Linked DNA regions of Mytilus edulis. The protein of the gene in region 1 purifies or fractionates together with the protein of each later gene. This does not show direct contact. Links are inferred from orthologs where the notes say so. Each region holds a gene or a part of one and is shown in the gene's direction. Other genes may lie near its edges. The genes, in order: E3 ubiquitin-protein ligase RNF19A-like and superoxide dismutase [Cu-Zn]-like.

Evidence for each region.
Region 2: the proteins of E3 ubiquitin-protein ligase RNF19A-like (region 1) and superoxide dismutase [Cu-Zn]-like purify together in Homo sapiens (affinity purification with western blotting, with the first as the bait; 3 studies listed by BioGRID). This does not show direct contact. The link is inferred for Mytilus edulis from reciprocal best matches to the Homo sapiens genes RNF19A and SOD1.

The regions. Positions count from the first base shown.
Region 1 is NC_092355.1:45,846,108-45,857,606, forward strand, and holds the start of E3 ubiquitin-protein ligase RNF19A-like, read left to right. Parts: upstream 1-7,175; 5' UTR 7,176-7,321; intron 7,322-11,499. UniProt on the Homo sapiens protein: E3 ubiquitin-protein ligase which accepts ubiquitin from E2 ubiquitin-conjugating enzymes UBE2L3 and UBE2L6 in the form of a thioester and then directly transfers the ubiquitin to targeted substrates, such as SNCAIP or CASR.
Region 2 is NC_092353.1:20,700,796-20,712,002, forward strand, and holds superoxide dismutase [Cu-Zn]-like, read left to right. Parts: upstream 1-5,447; 5' UTR 5,448-5,546; coding exon 5,547-5,624; intron 5,625-8,273; coding exon 8,274-8,370; intron 8,371-8,489; coding exon 8,490-8,677; intron 8,678-9,617; coding exon 9,618-9,728; 3' UTR 9,729-10,296; downstream 10,297-11,207. UniProt on the Homo sapiens protein: Destroys radicals which are normally produced within the cells and which are toxic to biological systems.

The DNA.
Region 1 (11,499 bases):
AATTCCCGTATGTAGAACTGTGAAATGCAAGTTTATAAATAATATTAAAAAAGTTGATGACTGCAATAAAATTGAGAAAGGAAATGGGGAATGTGTCAAAGCGACAACGACCATAGAGCAGACAGACAACAGCCGAAGACCACCAGGCAATGGGTCTTCAATGGGTCCTCTTTAATGTAGCGAGAAACTCCCGCATCCGCAGTATTCCTTCAGCTTCTTATTTGTGATTCATAATGATTCACAAGTTGTTGTTTTTTTTACAAAAGTTAAACGTCAAAAACGCCAGACATTTTGGTCTTGTTTGAACTAGCGAATTGATCCTAAAATGCAAATGAAATAATTAAATAACAACACTATAAAAAATGTCTCGTAAATTTTTGTTAACTTCTTCCACAAGAATTCCACGTAGTTATAACCATTATCTTCACTAACAAAGAGAAAGATAAGAACATGTCCAACTCTGAGAGAGCCTTTATCAGAGACATATATATTTAGTTTGTAGGGCTCTGCCTTTTATATTAATGTTTTTTTTCGTGACGAAATCATTAAAGATATGCATAGTATACCAAATTAAATTTGAATTTGAATAGAAGAAGAAGAAAAAGAAAAAGAAGAAGAAGAAGAAGAAGAAGAAGAAGAAGAAGAAGAAGAAGAACACGACTACCACTGAATTACAGGCTCTAAGAAGAAGAAGAAGAAGAAGAAGAAGAAGAAGAAGAAGAAGAAGAAGAACACGACTACCACTGAATTACAGGCTCTAAGAAGAAGAAGAAGAAGAAGAAGAAGAAGAAGAAGAAGAACACGACTACCACTGAATTACAGGCTCCTGACTTGTATGGGACAGGCACATACAGAATGGGGTTGATTATATACAAGTAACCGTGCTCAAACCCTCCCACTAATATAACCTAGCTTGGACAGTGGTTTAATATAACAACACAATAATGTATACATAACCATGATAACAACAATTAAGTCAAAAACAAACTTCGTACATCTACTTATTATGTAGATACGATATTATACAAATAATGTTCATAATATTCTGAAATGCACGGCTTAACAAACAATATAAAGCAGCGAGAGAAAATCATTAAAATGAATTAAGACATTAATTGGGTTTACTGTAAATAAAACTAAAATGAAGTAAATATGGTCTAAAAGTTCATATTTATTTTTAAAGAAAACCCAGCTGTATGCTAATGCAGACATAATGTATGTCTCTGGTTGTAACGATTCACTTCAATACACTTCAATACACGGGGGTATTATCTGATTGTAACTAAGTTAATCGACCTTTCCTTTCATTGACAATGCAATTTTATTCAACCTTCCACATACTATTATAGATATGGAAAATGTGTGCACCATAGGTTGGAAGCGTTACACATTACTTTACTTGTAACCTGCTTGAATTTTAAAGCACCTGAATGTCAAATTTTATTATATCCTGATGTAAGACCATTTAACGTAAGAAATCAAGTACCCGCTAACCCAGTGGAAGACATATGAGCTTATAACCAATGACTCAGCGCGAGACAAAAATCTGTACCAACTCAAATGATTCCATCGATGACTTAATTTGCAAGATTTCTACACACGAAAAAGCGTAATGCGGGAAATATACTGACAAATATAATCAGTGTGTATTCAAACACTGGGACTCACATTTCGCTATGCAGATAACTCAATGATCATGAATGAAGTTGAAAAATTATACTAAAATGTGTACGTACTGTAAGCCTCCTGGCGGTCTTTCTGTCGATGAAAACAAGAAAACAATTTCCCCATCATTTTTGATGATACTATAATTTCCAGTTCGATGTCGAACAACTGCAGCAATTAAAGCTGAACGACGATCATTTTCGTGCAACGATTGTTTTGACTTCTGTCAAATGGCAGTTCTGATTAATCATTGATTACACACTAGCTACGACGAATTAGACGATGACAATATTAAATTTTACCCTTCCACGTGATTTTGTTTTCATTATTTACAGATTTTACGGACCTCGTTTTCGATTTTCATTATACACACATACGTTTTTTTTTTAACAATAACTTATCTTCTTTCCAGATTTTTGTCTAAAATTGACATTTTCTCTACAATGGTGATTATTGATCATATGATCTGATCTGAGGATCTGATATACAAAAGATAAAGATATCAGAAGCATACATATTTACTGTAGTATAGTTATCGAGTAATTTCACATGCAAATAACACTTAATACATACTTTATTATGTCTATCGCAAAGGATTTTATTCAGATGGGAAAAATAACTGACCCCCCTGTAATTAACAAAAAGAAAAATAATTTGAGTGATTTTTTTTTGGTCATTATCTTTTTTTTTCATGTGCGAGCGAACTTGTTGGCTTCTATATATATACAATATGCTGCACTATCAATGCATATAATGTATAACATTGAATAATGCATGCAGCATCTTATATTAATTGAAAGTGCTTACCATTCTATTCTGAAGGGGGCAATACCTTTTTATGTTAACCACTGTTTTGGCCTTTTTTCAAGGCCGGTGTTGTTTATAACTGTTATCTGAGATAAATTAAAACTGTTACCTGTTTTCAAACCACTTTCTAAACTGTTATCTGCATTTTTGCATTTGTTGTTAACATGTTAACTTCCCCCTATTCTTTCTACTGTAAATGTCTCGGGGGACCACTTCAAACTTATTTTGGTAGGGCATCAAGTACCCCACCCTTTTCATATATTTTGTCTATCAAAAATATATACCTTGTCATATGACTACATGTATAATTAACTCAATTTATATTTCATGAAACTAGAAAAATGCTTTTATTGGCCCTTTTTGACCACTAATTCTAGCATGAATGGGGCATTAACCACCAAACTCAATTCCAGCCTTCCTTATGTGAAATGGAACTTTGTGGTACAATGTAATTGTCCAGAAACTACAGAAATGCTTGTATTTGGCCACTTTTTGGCCCCTAATCCCTAAACTGTTGACACCCTAAATGAATCAAACCCTTCTGCTTGTGGTATTTAACATTGTGGTACAATTTCAGAGCAATTGAAATACTTATACACAAGTAATAAACCTGTTAGCAGAAAAAAAGCTTGTTTTGGGCCCCTAATTTCTAAACGGCTAGGACCAGCATCCCCAAAATCAATCCCAACCTTCCTTTTGTGGTATTGAACCTTCCTATTACATTTCAAAGAGATCTATGTACGTAAACTATAGTTATTGTCCGGAATCCAAATGTGTCTTCGGACGACGACGACGCAGACGACATGATACCATTATACGATCCCAAAAAATTGTTTGCGGACGAAACCAATCCGAAATGTCTACTATGCTCAAAGGATGATGAAACTGTGACCCACTTCGAGTCATATTAAACCTCGTCCAACTCCGAAATGTAAGGAACAAGATACTTGTAGAAACAGTTGTTGTACTAAACAGTCTTGGAATTCAATTTAATAAACTATTGGGCAATAAAAAGTTGCAAATAATTCTGGACATCAAACCGGTAGCAACATCAGGGAAATTCTCTCCAACTAATGTAGCAAAATTAGAACGCCTAACTAAACGCGTATAGCCCGCTGTAGGATAGTTTGCGGATGATAATAATTAGGATAATGACTTTTAACTGAAAAAACTAACCACTTCCATAAAAGAAGAAACAATAGCTTTGTCACAAATCTCGGGAGTTTCTCGCTGCATTGAAGACATATTGGTGACCTTCTGCTGTTGTCTGTTCTATGGTCGGGTTGATATCTCTTTGACACATTCCCCATTTCCAATCTCAATTTGATATACAAAGAAAGAAAGGAATTTTATAGTGACTTCACTATTAATCATCGTATGATAAGCACAGATACAATTTAACTATACAACAAAGATTTTTTAATACAAGTGAGTGTGGTTGGGATTTCCCTCCTGTTAGTGTATATGTTCCGGACCATATAGTATTTGGACCATATAGGTTTTTTTTCAAATATGCATTAGAAACGTTTCAATGATGACTGCAGAACGCTATATTCACAGGACAACTTAAAAAAACTATGGTCCTTGCCCGTGATATACTTGACGCAATAAACGAGGTAAATTACAAGACGCCTTGTCAACCACTGGTCCGGTATACCTAAAGTAACAAAACTTCCTTTAATTCACAATATGTGCATTTGATTTTGACATCTTCTTATTGTACTTACAAATAGTGAGTAAAATTAACTGTGTGAAAATGATTATTTTTTTAAATGTTTATTTAGTTTATCTTTTTTATCCTGAAAATATAATAAAATTACCATTTTCACCTAAGGCGGGCATTAACTACATCAGATATATACTGCACATGCAGTTCAAATCTGTACTTTTACCTTTAGGGGCGTTTCCTGATATGATAAAATTACCATTTTCAGACATGACAACTAGAAGTTTCATACCTTATGAAGAGTTCAAAAGAATTTAAAGTAAACGTGTTTTTTACCCCGCGTATACGTATGGTCGGACTATATGAGTATATACCCATATGGTCATGACCATACGCATATGGTCCAAATACTCATATGGTCCGGAACATATATATATATATATATATAGAGCACTGCAACATAATTGGTGTCCAGGCATTATTGTACATAGAAACTGCAGACAGATCACAAGTTCTACATACTCTCTTATGGGACCGTTCCTCTACAAAAGGGGTTAAAGATACAGAGGTAAGGTAATGTAAGGAAGGTTAATCCTCAGCATTCTAGCGATAAGGAATGTTAACACATGCCATAGGTAAAATCTCTTTGTTTTTTTTTACTATGCTATAATCTGGATAATGCACAGCTAAGGTGTGCATTAACTATATATCAGATATACTGCATATGCAGTTCAAATCTGTATTCTTACCTATAGGGGCGTTTCCTGGATTTTGAAAGGGGTGTTATTCTATAAAATTAAGAAAATATGAACGATTGTAGCGAGACTAAACGCCACTTTTAAATGCAACATTTCGGCTATTTCGTGGCGGCCAGTTTTTGTTGATGTAGGAAGCCGGAGTTCCCAATGAAAACCACCCACCTTTGATAGGAAAACTGAAAATCCTAATCAATTAATATTGGAGTCGAGAACCCCCGCACGGGCAGAGTTCACCCTCAAAACCTCAGTGTTGACTGTCTAGTGATTACAGTAGAAGAACTTCTTAGACTTCTTGGCGAACGAGGCCCATTATGATAAAAGAAAGGTTTCTCCTTCCTTTTTGTTGTTGTTATCTAAACGGGGACATTAAATATTTTATTATATTTTGTGTGCACAATGTAAATCTTAAATCAGTGTTTTAAAGTCAGAACAGATTATAATGACTTTTACTTTTTTGTAGTTTCTCAGCGGCCAAAAAAGAAATCTGATTTGAATAAGTTACGACTTTAGTTGCATATTTATTCGTATAAAGTGACTATTTGGGGATCGACTTTAAATTTGGGTCTTGGGGAGTAAAAGATTGGAAAGAGAAACATTGTTTCTGTTTATTTAACATTCTCAATTTATGTACCAATATCTTCTTCTGTTCCGTCATCTTTCTCTCATTGAGGGAAAGAAAAGCGATTTATCTTTACTCAATAACCCTTTCAGTAATGATTTTTCTTACACCGATTTGAAAGTACACAATATGTCAAAGTCTTAATCCTGCGTCACCAATTAAATAAAAACTTATGAACAAATTTAACAGAAACGATATAAAATATCAACAATTAGATCGCAAATAATGTAACAACTTAGAAAGAAGCCTAAATATAAAAAAAATAGTAATAATTTAAAACCTTTACCAACCTCTTAATTACTACATAAAGGCTCATTTCCCCCTTTAATTACTTTACAAGAAATTGCCTATGAGTTGTGTATTGCCGCGGAATACCGTCAACATATTTAAAACGTTCACGTAAATTGATGTGTTAAAACAGTTTTTGGCCAATCAAATCGGTATATAGGATTTAATCTGCACGGCTCGTGTGACCCTTTAACCCGAACTCCTACGTACGCGGCGTTCCCGGGTTAATTAGGACACGGGGGGGGGGGGGGGGGGGGGGGAGTAACTTCCTATTATTGGGTATACGGGGATGTGCCAAAAATATGGGTCATAATTTTGCGAGATTTTATATAAAAATGACCCTCCTTTTTAATGACATCCTATATTAAAATGCATTTACGTTTGATAACTGTATATTGATTTGGGGTATGATCTCCATAATCATGAATAAACATGCTATTGAGAATCTTACATTAATAATGGTCAATTATTATATTAAATTAAATCAATTCATTTGAAAGTTCACCTTTCAAATAAGTTCCCAAATGAACCCCGGAAATTTGTCTCCTGATTTGATCTTCAATAAACGATGTCAATTCATATATAAAAACTTAAGGGTAGCTGGTATATTTATGAATTATGAGTGATGATGAGTTAGTGCTTATATAAGCATGGGTCATATTTTAAATATTGTATATAAGTATAGGTCATTCTTTCTTAAATATTTATATAACTATAGGTACTGAATTTCAGTGAATGTTATATTAAAATGGGTACTTTTTTTAGGCAAAAATGGCACACCCCTACCAAACACATATCGAAGTTACCCCCCCCCCCCCCCCCCCCGTGAATTAGGATCACCCGAGTCGTGCAGTTTAAATCCAAAATACCGACTTGCTTGTGGTCAACAACTTTAACTTATTTTGTGTTCGGTTATCAGTCAAAAAACAAAAGTCATATGGGTAGAAATGTCTGTTACAACAGGTTGAATACACCGGAATGTCCTTAGGGAGCTACCATTTGATTTTTATGGGGGGGGGGGGGGGGGCTAGCATGAAAATTTTGTCCTGCATTTTTTTTTAGCTGTAATCTCTGTCCTGCATTTTTATTTTTCACTCTGTTCGGTCCTGCCTTTTTTTTTTTAGTTTATTCTGACTTTTTTATACCTAAATTGTCGTCCTGACTTTTTTTTTTTGCAAGTGTCTCATCCTGCCTTTTTTTTTTACTCAAAACTCCTGTCCTGCCTATTTTTTTCAAATTTCATCCTAGCCCCCCATAAAAATCAAATGGTAGCTCCCTTACGGTCATCCGATGTAAAAAAAAATCCAATCTTAGATATAAGGGACGAAACATAGTGGCGAAACCACGATAATAACTATTTGTTTGTTTTTGTTGAGTGAGATCACTTCCGGCGGGAGTTGCCATCTTTCCGTTGACAGTTTCCTGTAAATTTCTTATTAACATTGTTTTCTGATTAAGAAATGGTAAAAATAATCAAAATGTGTAGCAGTTTAAAGTTATAAGATTGTAAGATGTTTTGTGAGTATATTACATTTTACCTTTGGTGGGATGATAATGTTGACGACCTGTTAGTGTTAAAAATAGACTAAAAAATAAATAAATAAATATTTACTCAATAACCCTTTCAGTAATGATTTTTGAAAATCCTCGACTTTCAGTTTTGTTCATATAGTTAATGCCTCTGTATTTAAAGTGCTTAAGGCTGACTGATTTTAATTCATTAATTTTCCGGGACTAATTATTATGAACTGGTCATACATGTATATATATATGTATATATAGTCCAAATAATGATGACGTCTGGCAAGGCTATTTTAATTTTTTTCTGTCTTTCCTACGACGTCATAACGCTGAAGCCATTTTTTACGTCTGGAGTTTGAGAGCAAATTTTGGGGGGAACTTTGAGACATAAAATTTCCCACAAATTATGAATTATCAATGAAACGACACTTCCAGTGAATATAAAATATTAAAACCGGGACATTTTGAAAGACCTGAATTTCCAGTTAATGTAAATCGAACGTTACTGAAATTCGGGTCCATTGAATCTTACCGATATTAATATTTTATTTTCACCGGAAGTGACGTTTCATTGATAATTGTGCTAAATCATTTTGAAACAAAAATGAAAATAAATATTTGCCCGACTCAAATGGAATCGTATCTTTTTTACCATTTCTTCTGGATATTTCTGGAAATATATTACATCAATAAGCACAAAAAAGGTAAGACTTTGTAACTACGTAAAAATTTTAAACCTGCAAGGAAAATTTTATGTCTCAAAATTAGGTCTCAAAGTTCACCCCAAAATTTGCTCTCAAACTCCAGATGTAAAAAATGGCTTCAGCTTTATGACGTCGTAGGAAGGCGTCCCAGAAGAAAATTAAAATAGCCTTGCCAGACGTCATAATTATTTTGACTAATATATATACATTTGATAACATGTTCAACGACATCGTTGTTGGTTTGAATAGTTTTACTCATTGTTGGGGTTTGTGATGAGTCAAGTCTCTGTGTTAAAGACCCTACTGTGACTTATACAATGGCAGTTTGTGTCAAACTGTTTAAGGGTTTGTTTGACCGAAAATGAAATTTGATGTTTTGCCGGTCACACGAATGACTAAATAACACTGTTATTATCGGAAATTCTGAATAACACTTGAAATGACTGAATACCTCTAGAAGTTTTAATATAATTAGCACAAATTGGTGACTTTTAAACATTGATTATTAAATAATATTGTATTATAAGTGTATTTGATAACTTAAAAATGATATATATATAGCAAGCAGGTAAGTTCATAAAGATCGTTTTAAAAATAGTGTCAATAAGTGTGTATATCCAACATGGCCAACTTGTCACTTGGTACAAAATGTATATACATGTATGCATTATCCTAGGTCGCCATGTTCAGCCATGTTGGATGTAAAACACTATATTTATAACGATCTTTATAAACTAACTGCTTTTTAATATATATTAACCCTTGTCGTGCGGGGGCCGTAATATTACGGCCGTACCCAGAATACCGTTATTTTGGCATCAATGGCGCTCCATACATTTAGAGGTCATCGTAATACCATTTATTTCGTAGTGTATGAACGTTTCCTCAATCTGAAACTATTCATGTCATGTTTCTCACTTTAAATATTCATTTTGAGCTCAAATACGAACTTCAAAATTTGATATCGGACAAAATTGGGTTTTTTGGAGGGGTGGGCTTACCTTCAAGGTCTGAATCACGGAGTTCAGAGGATTGAAACCTTGACAAATACCGTTAACCTAAAGGCACATAACGACTGGTCGTGTCTATTATCAAAATACGCCGAGGAAACGACTACTTCCGGTTGCAAGTCCAGTTAAAGTTCAAAATTGGAAAAATTCCGAAATTTGGTGAATTTTGGGGCAAATGACCTTCTTTACACTGATGAACCCAGATCAGTTTCACTCCGACCTAACAACTGTTGTGATAAAAGTGTTCACTGGTGTCCACGCTACATGTAAACTACAGATGGATGCATCTATTAGCATCTCTCGGACTTACAGGTCGAGAAAAAGAACGAAAAAAGGTCAAAATTGACGCTTTTTGTACCTGAGGACCAACTTTGGGGCAAATTCCCCACAAAAAAATTCCGCCTCCTCACCCCGACCACCCCACCCCGTGATCACCTATTTTAGATTTATTGTAATCAGTATGCATCAGCATCAGGGTACAGCTCATTTGCATATCATTTGCATATTTTTGCAAATACTCGAAATTTAGACAATTTCTGAAAACAACTCAGCATGGTAAGGGTTAAGAACCCTGATGTCAGAAACCATTTTTTTCAGTTTTCTGTCCAATTTTGATGTTTTTTCGTCTTATTTGGGGCCTTTAAAGGTTATCAAGGCCTTGGGATACGCTGGTCATCTAAAAATCGCCAAAAAAAAAAATAATGTTGAAACTTACTTAACCCTTGTCGTGCGGGGTCCGTAATATTACGGCCGTACCCAGAATACCAATATTTTGGCATCAATGGCGCTCCATACATTTAGAGGTCATCGTAATACCATTTATTTCGTAGTGTATGAACGTTTCCTCAATCTGAAACTATACATGTCATGTTTCTCACTTTAAATATTCATTTTGAGCTCAAATACGAACTTCAAAATTTGATATCGGACAAAATTGGTTTTTTTGGAGGGGTGGATTTACCTTCAAGGTCTGAATCACGGAGTTCAGAGGATTGAAACCTTGACAAATACCGTTAACCTAAAGGCACATAACGACTGGTCGTGTCTATTATCAAAATACGCCGAGGAAACGACTACTTCCGGTTGCAAGTCCAGTTAAAGTTCAAAATTGGAAAAATTCCGAAATTTGGTGAATTTTGGGGCAAATGACCTTCTTTACACTGATGAACCCAGATCAGTTTCACTCCGACCTAACAACTGTTGTGATAAAAGTGTTCACTGGTGTCCACGCTACATGTAAACTACAGATGGATGCATCTATTAGCATCTCTCGGACTTACAGGTCGAGAAAAAGAACGAAAAAAGGTCAAAATTGACGCTTTTTGTACCTGAGGACCAACTTTGGGGCAAATTCCCCACAAAAAAATTTTTCATTCCATCACAATAGGAAATTCAGAGGAAAGCAAGAAAATTCAACGTCATAATCGGATTTTAACCAATGAAGAACTGAGATCAAACGAACCACACGTAGATTAAATTTTTTTATACAATGGGTGCAGAAAATTTAAAGGGATAAATTGACGAAGATTTAAAGAAAAATCTTTATAATATACTGCTATTTAATAATCAATGTTTAGAAGTCAATAATATATACAGTGTATGAAAATTTTAAGTGTTATTCTGTCTTTCGAGATTCATTGCTACTAAATTTTCAACTAAAAATTTAAAAAACTCTTAAAACTTCTGTCTGACCGAAGGACACTTTGTCTGTCAGAGTTTGGGAAATACTGTAATGCTTTACTTTTTACAAATTGTGACTTGGATGGAGAGTTGTCTCATTGCATTGGCACTCATACCACATCACACATCATCTTATATCCAATTAATGCTAACAAATGTCTATTTAGACCTACAGTGTTTTTCAAACTGCAACAGAGGTTGCCATTTCAATAATGGCATCAATCACCTACAGCCCTACTTGTAAGTTAAGCTTGTTATATATTTTAATAAGAAATTTAAAACGTGGCTTTGTTTCTTTTATCGAAAGAGGGATGTTATATTAGATTTATTTTTATAAACTGAATTATGCCAAAGGAATATTTTTTACTATAATTGATAGATACATGTAAGTCAAAAGAAGCATGCAAATTTCAATCCACCTGTATTTGGCACTATTTGCCAGTATTGACCAATTGGCATGGGGAGTAAATACCAGTGAGTAAAACTTTTGTATTTGAAGCATACATGTTTTCAGCCATTTATATACATGTAGTTTTATTACCAATAGGTATACAGAGTCTTTCATTACATTTTTATACGACCGCAAAATTTGAAAATTTTTTCGATGTATATTGCTATCACGTTGGCGTCGTCGTCGTCGTAGTCGTCGTCCGAATACTTTTAGTTTTCGCACTCTAACTTTAGTAAAAGTGAATGGAAATCTATGAAATTTTAACACAAGGTTTATGACCACAAAAGGAAGGTTGGTATTGATTTTGGGAGTTTTGGTCCCAACATTTTA
Region 2 (11,207 bases), on another chromosome or scaffold:
AATTGAGGTTTTGAGCTGGCATGTAAGTGACTGCTACTAGTCCTTTGTTAATTTTTTTAATCATCGTCATTTTATTTAGTACCTTTTGTTGCCTATTCTGACATCGGAATCGGACTTTCGGTGAGTATTGCTGTGTGTGTTCTATATTTACATTGGCTAGAGGTAAAGGGGAGGGTTGCAATCTTACAAAACATGTTTAGGTATCCTCGACGCATTTCTGCGCCTGTCCCAAGTCAGGAGCCTCTAGCCTTTGTTAGTCTTGTATGATTTTAATTATATATTTTTGAGTTTAATATGACGTTCAATATCCCATTTTTTTAGGGGCCAGGTGAAGCACGCCTCTGAGTGCGGGATTTTCTCGCTGTGTTGAAGACCCATTGGTGGTCTTCAGCTGTTATCTGCTCTTTGGTCGGTTTGTTGGCTCTTTAACACATTCCCCATTTCCATTCTACATTTTACCAAACAAGTTTTGCCCTATTTGAGATCTCTGATTAGAAAGTTAATTATCTGGTGATCATCATTTTAAAAATTAGCATCATCGTTAATTATGGTCTTAGTGTTAAGGAAAAGCTTCGACAAAGGATCTGTATTTTAATCAGATTAACTATGTAGATAAGATGGGTGTTATTTAATAGATATATTATAAAACATTATTTCCGAATCTTGGAGCCCAAAAAAGGAGCCTTATCACACCTTCTCATTTGAGTAAACATTTTTTACTTTCTTCATTTTGTTTAAGTGATCACACGATCCTATATTATATGTATCTGTTATCTTTTCTGAAAAGCTCAAATGATTAGGGTTGAAGTCATAAAACTTTGCTTAGTGCTCGGAGCACAAAATTCATGCTCGAAACATGAAATCCAGCATTTTGATTGGTTGATTTTGGAGTATGCGAACAAAAAACTGACTCGATCTATCGAATTATCAACAAAAAAAAACAACAATTATATTTGTTAATAGAAATTTTTAAAATGAACTATTCTAGAACATTTGCAAATATGTGTAAAGTAGAAGAAGGAAGACTTTTGTCTCATTTACAAATGTATTTAGTTCTAATATTTGATAATTGATTACCTTTCAGAATAGTGATTCACCAGTCATGGTAAAACCTTGTTGTTTAGCATCTATTAAACCAGTAAAGTCCTCTGTCTGGTTTAATAGCTGCTAAACAACAAGGTTTTACCATTTATGAGTTTGGAGACATCACAAATTGTAAGTATAACAAGAATGTGTCCATAGTACACGGATACCCCACTCGCTCTATCATTTTCCATGTTCAGTGGACTGTGAAATTGGGGTCAAAACTTTAATTTGGCATTTAAATTAGAAAGATCATATCATAGGAAACATGTGTACTAAGTTTCAAGTTGATTGGACTTCAACTTCATCAAAAACTACCTTGACCAAAAACTTTAACCTGAAGCGGGACGAACGGACGAAAATCTGCATCCATTAATAGCAAATCATCGGCCTTTCATCTTTCATATGGATAAGATCTATCGAAAAATACACTTGTTCGTCTGATGAATGGTTCGCTTCCTCTCATATCAGCGCTGCCTCGATTTTTTACGAGCAGTCGTAAGCATATAACAATATTTACAACACATCGTATCGTAAGTTTCTTTCGTGAATACAAATTACAACATACGATATCGTAGACCTTACCTTACGACAGTCGTAACGTTACGAGAGTTTTGTGAATACGGGGCCAGTTTCGTAAGTGGGTGCATTTTAAAAATACATGGTCTTTAAAAGTATATTGAGAATGTAATAAGAATATAGGGGACATTACGATGTGGATACCAAGTAGCCTGTATCCCAGACGCTTTTAAGTCTGGTGCAAAACCAAATGTATTGCTAAACCAAATCATCTTTTTATCTATATACCAAAAAAAATAAAAAAAATGTTTTTTGCAATTATTGTAAATATGTTTAGCTTTTTAATTTGTTTCCCTAGTATGTGCCTTCTTGTAATCTTCAACATATTGAAGTTCAGAAGTATTATGTAGATGTAGATGTAGATGGATATTAAGCAAATAAGGAAGTCTATATAAAAAAAAGTTAGCCGGAAAAATACAGCAAAATCATAATGTTATTTTCTAAATTATTTAATAATTTCGGACGATTTAAAAAAAATGGATAGCCCATGATTCTGCAGATTTTATTAGAATATATGATAAACAGAATAATACATGGCAAAATCCGTATCGCATGCGAAAAAGGAGAAAGCTCGGTAATCATTGCATTTCCCTCTCATTTAAATTAATAATTTTTTAAACAAATAAATGTCACACAATAAACGAATTTCGAATTTGTAATTTACAATGACGACTTTTAGGGGGGATGTTCACATTAGTGATAGACTGTTTGAACGGCAAGAAACGCCAATTATCAAAATATTTGATACCGGCCCGAATTTAAAAAAAAATCATACAGAGGATATATAGATTTTTGTCACACTTAAATTAACACTTTAGCAATGACTACGTGGTCGTTCTTCTAGATTTAAAAACAATCACTTAAGCCTCACCGGTAATTATAAAGTCTATCACATATTTTATAAAACCTAAGCATACTAGCTTTTGCAAAAAGATTATTTATTAACATCCGTGTTGCTTAAAGTTTTAAGCCCTTTAACATTAATTACCCTTTTGATCCATTACACATCAGCGTGATATTTAATTGTACTTTAGCAAATAAACAACCATCGCACTTTAGCGTGATACACCATCGTACTTTAGCGTAGACCATATCGCACTTTAGCGTGACCATCGCACTTTAGAGTAAAAAGTAAAAACACAAAAATACTGAACTCCGAGGAAAATTCAAAAAGGAAAATCAAAAATCAAAAGGCAAAATCAAAAGTCCAAACACATCAAACGAATGGATAACAACTGTCATATTCCTGACTTGGTACAGGCATTTTCTAATGTAGAAAATGGTGGATTGAACCTGGTTTTATAGCTAGCTAAACCTCTCACTTGTATGACAGTCGCATCAAATTCCATTACATTGTCAACGATGCATGAACAAAACAAATATACTCAAAGAGTAAAAATGTCAAAAATAGGGATACAACAGTCAATATTGTGTTATCATCTTAATATCACTACATAAACAACAAATGTAACAAAGTAGCACAAAAAGGCATACATCAAATTTAACATTCTCATTTTGCTTTTCTTATACGGCTGAATTTATCTATGTAAAGTCTACCCATAAATGAAAGAAGGTTTTCATTACTGGTGTAAAATTGCGCGTTTGAAATTCGCACAGGTAGACATAAAAATAATTTTGTCGTATGACGGCATACATAAATGCAGACTCACGTAAAGTAGATATAACAAAAAACAGACTTACAGTAAAAATAATAAATAAAATAATGGCGTGGTTCAAAGTATGACGGGACACATAAGTACAGTTTCACGTCAAATACGGCTGAATTTATCTATAAAATAGTTTAGTCATTCATAGTATGTCAAGATCCTTAAGTAAAAGTAATATCAATAAATGAAATAATTTTGCCGTTCAAAGTATGTGGTTTTACGTAACCACAGAGTCACTTCAAATGAATATCTAAAACAGACATATAAAAGAATACTATAATACGTAATTAAGATGCTAACAAACGTCAGTACGCAAAATCTATACTTCAAGACCATCTTGTATTATTTGTGAAGTTGATACGGAATATTTATCAACAAGTTCTGGGTATCTTCCGATGAACTTTTTAAGAAAAAGGACGAGACGTTCTTTGACATACCCCTGGTTCATCAATTTTCTGCTCAGACACTGGTAACGTTTTACAAAGTCTGAATAGGAGCTGCAAGCTCTTGAATACCTAATAAGTTGGGAAATGTATATTCCATATGCAGGTGAAGTTGGTATATTACTACTAAGGTGGGGGAAATTGATAATTTCAAAATTAAAATCGTCTCGTTTGTCATAGATTCTGGTACTGAGATGACTGTGTATGTCAAATTCGAGGTATAAGTCTAAAAATGAGGCAGAGGAAGCCGTGTCTGTGGTCTCTTTAATTTCTAGTTCTGGTGGGTATATTAATGGAATCCAATCAGAAAAGTTCGGATTGTTAATGGAAAGAACATCATCAATATATCTGAAAGTGAAATTAAATAACCTGGCTTTTTTATCTTCTTGTTTTTGACAAGTGTCTGAAGGAACTCCGATTCATATGAAAATAAGAAGAGGTCGGCAAGGAGAGGCGCACAGTTCGTTCCCATAGGAATGCCGACAATTTGTTGAAAAAGTCTACCTCCAAATTCAACAAATATGTTGTCAATAAGAAACTCCAGCATACTGATCACTTGTTCCTCTGTGTAGTATGTTTTACCCTTTTGTTCCTTATTAACAAAATATGCCTTATGGTATCCCAAAGTGATAAATTTATAGCGTATGCTACCATTTTTATGATGAAAAGCATTGTGAATTATTTCTTTTAGACGGGTTTTCAATTTCACATGGGGAATGGTTGTATACAAGGTTGAAAAATCAAAAGTTTTAATAGAACTAATTTCAGAAAAAGACCGAGATTTAAAATTATCCAGAAGTTCTTTAGAGTTTTTCAGAATCCACATATGGTTAATACCACTACGTGAGTAAACAGTTTCACAGTATATCTGAAGACCCTCTTTAACTGCGGACAGAATTTTAGTCAATCTAATGGACAATTCTTTAGTAGAACAAGCAGATGAGCCGGCAATGTACCGTTGTTTGTACGGAATTTTGTGAAGTTTAGGTATCCAATACAAACAAGGTAAGTCCTCCGATTTGTTGTTCAATGCAATGTTCATAGAAGCCATGAAGGACTTATGATTCGCCAAAATCTCATCCTTGTCAAATGATATGTTTTTGTATGTGGGATTACCTGAGTGTTCATTTATTCCTAATTCTTTTATAAGACACTCGTAGTAATACGATTTACATACAAAGACAATATTATTTGAAGCTTTGTCCGCAGGAACAACAACATACTTATCTTGAAGAGATGATAGACATTTCACAGCCTCTTTGTTACTGAAAATGGACTTACTAGATCGATCATTCACACAGTTTTACCATCGCACTTTAGAGTCCTACATATATAATAGCCAAAATTAATAATGTATTTCGTAAAAATATACTATTTTGTAATACAGGTCATATCCCAATTTTAACAATTTTGTTTTATCTCAAAGTCTGTGATTTCTATTTCGTTTCGTTTCGTTTCGTTTCTTTTCTTTTTGAGTTTTCTTTTTCGCTTCGTTTCTTTTCTTTTTGTTTTTTCGTTTCTTATTATTTTTCGTTTCTCCTTCGCGCTGTTAAATCGGAGCGTGTTTTTTTACCACAGAACCTAAAATACCACTAAACTTTACAAAAAATCAAAAAAATGTTTTCATTTCAGTTACATGTTTTCTTTTTTCCGTTTCGTAATCTGTTTCTGCGTTTTAGCAACACCCGTTGCACACGACACTTGTCCACATTTTCTCGCAGTTTACGGTCACTTACCGGTCACTTGTTCATAAGAAAATCTTATCTCTGTAGGTATGGCAGCTAATATAAAAGCAGTTTGTGTCTTGAAAGGAGATGGTGCTGTTACAGGAACAGTCGCTTTCAGTCAACAGGTAATATTTTTTTTTAAATAATTTTCAAAATTTGTTGCTCATGTTGCTGGTCAACATAATTTCCATGTCATATGACTACAGTTTGACCTTTTGTAATATAGCCCCCTTTACGGCAACCTTTTCTATGAGTTTCGTAAAAAAAACTTTATCCTAGAAAGGAAATTTCAAATGACTATTAAAAGTTACCTCTTTGTCAAAGGTCAAAACATAGAACATGTATGTTGTCAGACTTAGAGCACAGGGCTAGTATCACTATCAGGTTGGGAATGTGTTTTTATCCAGTACCTTGGGAGATACTATTATTAACCGAAAAGGCAACCAGGACCCTCAGTTTTTTCCGCAGGAACCTTGGCCAGTGTAAGCCATCAGTCAAAAACACAGCCTTTGGTGCATTCAGACCATCGATGGAGTAAGCTTGATCAAAGACCTTGAACGGGTACAGTGCAAAAAAGCACGATTGGTATACAACTAGTACACCGACACTTCCTCAGGCTGTGTCACTGGACTGAAAGACCAACGCGAGTGGGATACCCTTCTGCAAAGATAAATGAACCAGTGACTCATCCTTTGCTACAAGATCAAGAACCAACTAGTGGATATACAACCAGCTTTCAACTACACACTGGGGGACAACAGAACAAGGGTAGCCCATAGTCTGGCATAGAATCAACACCAGATAAAGAGCAACAAATATATATTTTTCACCACTTGATTTTAACCATTTTAACCCCACTTAAAAGGATAGTCGTTACATTTAGGGGTTATGCCTCATTTGAGGGGCTGTTGTATCATAGATGTTTTTGGGATGGAGTTACTCCGAGTATAGACCTTGTAGCAGTACTACTGTGTTTTTAGTGGACTTTTGCTTAAAACAGAACAGAATGCGTACCAGTGGACTGGCATATGTTTTCGCCCTCAAGACACCTATTATCATGATTATCATTGTTCTTACAATTCAACTGTCTATACAGTATCACTCTGCTCAGCTCTTCCTAAAGGTCTCACTAATAACACAAAGAATAAAAAAGTCTAAATATTACGAGAGTTCAACAATGATCAAAACTATTGTCTCTATATCTTCGATCACCTTAAAAATTCTATGCCGTATGGTTGAAGAAGAGTGATTAACATTGAATGTAGAATAGTATGTCATGTATGTGGACAAAAGTTATTTGATATTTAGGTCTTTCCACTTTTCGTGGAAAGACCTTTTGTTTTTCTTCTGATTATTTTTGTTTTTCTTTTGCCGTCTGAGATGCTTTTTTGTTTACAACATATCAAACTGATTTTTGGCCAATGATGTTGTACAGTAATTGAGGCTTCAAAACTCACCCTGTGTGACCGAACGCTTATTCTTATAGGAGTTATCTCCCCACGTCCCCTTTTTCTTGTTATCTTTATATCTGGAACCGTTAAAGATTTCAACAAACTGTTTTCACCAAATTGTTTGTCTGCTCTTAAGAACGGTTTGATGAATTTAACTGGAGTGATCGGATGACATCTTATGGGAGTTATCTCTCTTTGAAAATTTAAGATAGGTGATATGTTGGATAAATTCATACATTATAAGTCGTAGAGGCCTAAAGTCTTTTGATATGAAGTCCTTGTTCCGTTTGGAGAAAATTTAGGTCAGGGTCAAAGGTCAAGGTCATGTTCTAAATTAATTTTGCTTGTTTATATCTTTATTCAAAAGAAACTAACAGTTAATGATATGATGTGTTTGCCAAATAAATGTTTACGAAAGGGCACAACTTTAACCTGTTTAAGTCGGAAGTGTTTAGATCAACCCTTATAGGAGTTTTCTCCCCTTATGTATTTGAAATTAGTATTACTTCACAACCATACAAGTGATTTACCTGGGCTCTTTTGATTTGAGATCACTGACCTATGACCTTGAAATTGAGGTCAAATTCAAAGGTCAATTTGACGTTCTAGACTTTGACCTTTGCTGAGAATTCTTACTGGTTCATTATAAAACAATAAAGTCTTCTGCATTTGGTTGCAGACATTTCATCATGTACCATGTCAACGGGAAATGACCGTTTTTTAACCGGAAGTAGCCTATTTCAGACTATTCCTATGAAAAAGTACCTATAATTGTTTTTATTATATCAGTTTGAAGTAACAAATTACATGAACCATGAGTGACATTTTCCAATGTTCACTGTTTTTTAAATTGCATTCTTATTATCGAGGTGGAAAGACCTTCAATTGTTCTCTGAAGAATTGGTTTTTAATATTTTTTTATTTTTGAATTTATAAATTTTGTGTACATTTGTAAACCATGAATTTTCAAGATTGCAGTTTGAATTTTTGATCATATTTTTCTCTTTCAAATTATCTCTGATTTTTTTGACAAATTGTAACCTAGAGGTCACAAAACAAAACAAAAATTCATGTTTAAGTCATAAATTTGTTTGAAAACTTAGATTACATTTATTCAAATCTATTTAAATTATCACATAAATAACAAATATTTCTGAGTTTGATGTCAGATAAAGATTTTATGAAAATGATGTAGGAAATGAGCTTCAACTATTTTAGGAAGTTTGTATACAATTGGAAACATATTGAAGAGAAGACTTTTTGTCTAATTTACATATGTATTTAACTTCTGGTTTTAATATTTGATAATTGATTACCTTTCAGAATGGTGATTCAGCAGTGACAGTGACAGGAGAGTTAACTGGGCTAGCTCCAGGAGAACATGGTTTCCACGTTCACGAGTTTGGAGACAACACAAATGGTAAGACTATAGACACATTAGAACATTTTAAACAATTCCTGAAACTTTGAGATAAATAGAATTGCATTGAACATGAAGTTATACATTTATGAATATACAAACTTTTTTGTTTCTGTTAGGTTGTACTAGTGCAGGATCACATTTCAACCCATTTGGAAAGACCCATGGTGCACCAGGAGATGAAGAAAGACATGTTGGTGATCTGGGAAATGTATTAGCAAATGCAGATGGAAAAGCAGAAATTAAAATAACAGATGCAAAGCTATCCCTGACTGGTCCCCAGTCTATCATAGGAAGAACAGTAGTAGTAAGTAATATCAGAAACCAGACACAGCCTAGGAAAAATATGATAATAAGTCAAAAATGTTTATGGCTATTCCACAATATAACGATACATGTACTAAAAACATGTATTTTTTATCAATATCAATAAGGATGCTTAATTCTACAAACATAACATATACACAACCTAGGTTGCCTTTTCTTATTTTATTTTTAAAGTTGTGTAAAATGTGTATTATCATTTGCTAATGCATGACCTCAATTTTTCATACATGTGGACTATATGGATTGATTGTAAAAAGTCTAGGTCTGTCTGAATATGTTATGTGTAAGGAGATGTGATAGATGTGAAACAACTCTTTAAAAGAGACTAAATGACCCAGAAATTAACAACTTCAGGTCTTCGTACAGTCTTCCACAACGAGCAAAGCACATTTTGCATTATCAGCTCTTAAAGCTCCAGAAATGACAAATGTAAAACAATTCAAACAAGAAAACTAACGGCCTAAATTATGTATAAAATAAAGAAAGAAAAACAAATATGTAACAAAGCAACAAACAACAACCTCTGAATTACAGGTTATTTTGGACAGGCACCTAAATAATGTAGTGGGGTTCTAGACGTTTGAAGGCACCAACCATCCCCTTAGCTGTGACAGTGGTGTAACAGTACATCATAAAATCATGTCAATCTGAATTTTATCACAATACCATAACTTCATTTTTATGCTCTCCAGGTTTAATCAATTCAATAGTAAAATACAAAATAATGTTGAAATTAAAATAGCAATACTCATGATATTATAACATGTTAAATATGCAAAATATTCAGGCAATGAACCATAAGTGAAAGTACAGGAACAAATAAAGTCCATCTTATTGATCCATGCTTTCTTATTTGAAGGTGTCACTTCTGATATATGTAAAACATTAAACACTTACACACATTTTCTATTTCTTTTCAGGTCCATGCTGATATAGATGACTTAGGTAAAGGTGGCCATGAGCTAAGCAAGACAACAGGCAATGCTGGGGGTCGTCTGGCTTGTGGTGTCATTGGAATTTCAAAGGTGTAATGCATTCAAATGAATACTTTATGTAGTAGCAATGCAAAATGATTTTTTTTATTATTATTTAAAATCATGTAACAAAGTGCCCATAAGAACATGAAGCCATTCCTTGTCTCTGTATTACTGTAATAATTTCTATTTAGAATGTTCATGGCCATAGAATATTGAGTGTGGTATGATATATCTTTTAATTTTAAACTTTATGGAAAATATACTTTCTTCAAAATTGAAATCCTTCATACAATATGTCAATTGAATTATAACAATAATATACAGATAGAAGCACTGTAAATATTGATTCTCAATAAAAAAGAAAATGTTTAAAAACAATGAACAAAATTGTGGATGAAAAAGAGTATAAATTCAATGTTGATTGATACTACATGTAGTACCTCACTTTTATCCAGATTATTTACATTTATAGTTTTATTGTGAATAATGTATGTACTCTTGGTGTTTTGAATTTTTGAACAATAATACTGAAATGATAAAGGAAAGATTCCATCTTGTGCTTTATGTTGTATTTCTTGTTTATGTTAAGTTCTTACTAATACATTCTGTAATCAAACTGAAATGACTCATGATTGGCCCAGTAGTTATATTGATTTGCATTCAAATGCCGAGTCCTAAATATAAAATTTGAATGATGTCCAGTTTGTATGAGCCAAGTAAAGCTACTTTTTGACGTTCAGATACAACTTATAATATTTGACCTTCAGATACAAATTGTTTTATGTGAAGTAACAAGGTGTGTGAGGATATGTGGTGTCCAACTGAAACATACAGTATTCAGTAACCACAAATTGAAACTAATTGAAGCTGTTTTTAAGATCAGTGTAAATTATTTAAAACCTACATAGTAACAGAAAATGTTTCTAGTTTCATTTTAAAGGGCATAACCTTTATCTTACAGAATACAACTTGTCAGTATTTAATATTAATATATGATTTCATCCAAGCCATGACGACTTTGTGGTAGATTAGGGTCTAGCTGTTCCTATCCAAGAGTGCACATGATGAAATGCTTCTCCTGCTTTACCTAGGCTATTGAAGACCTGTTGGTGACCTTCTGCTGTTGTTTTTTTATTTGGTTGGGTTGTTGTCTCTTTGACACATTCCCCATTTCCATTCTCAATTCTATCTTGATTACAATTGTGTTTGTTGTAAGTCTGTGATTAGAAAGTTTTACAAGTACCACAAAAACTTATCAAAAATATTTTCAAATAGGTCAAGGTCATTGAAACCCTGCCAAACGTACATAATTCTGTCTTAGAATCTTACAATCATTCAATACATCACATAGAATTAACATTCAGCTTATAAAACTATTAAACCAAGAGTTTCAAATGGTGAAGTTGAAATCATCCCTTCTTAAATTTACAGAAGTTATCACAAGTTGGTCGACCTATATGGAATATCAGTTTCACAGATAACAGATATGTTCCTTATGTGTCGTGTACTGTTATTTGTGTTTGTCCTTTTCGT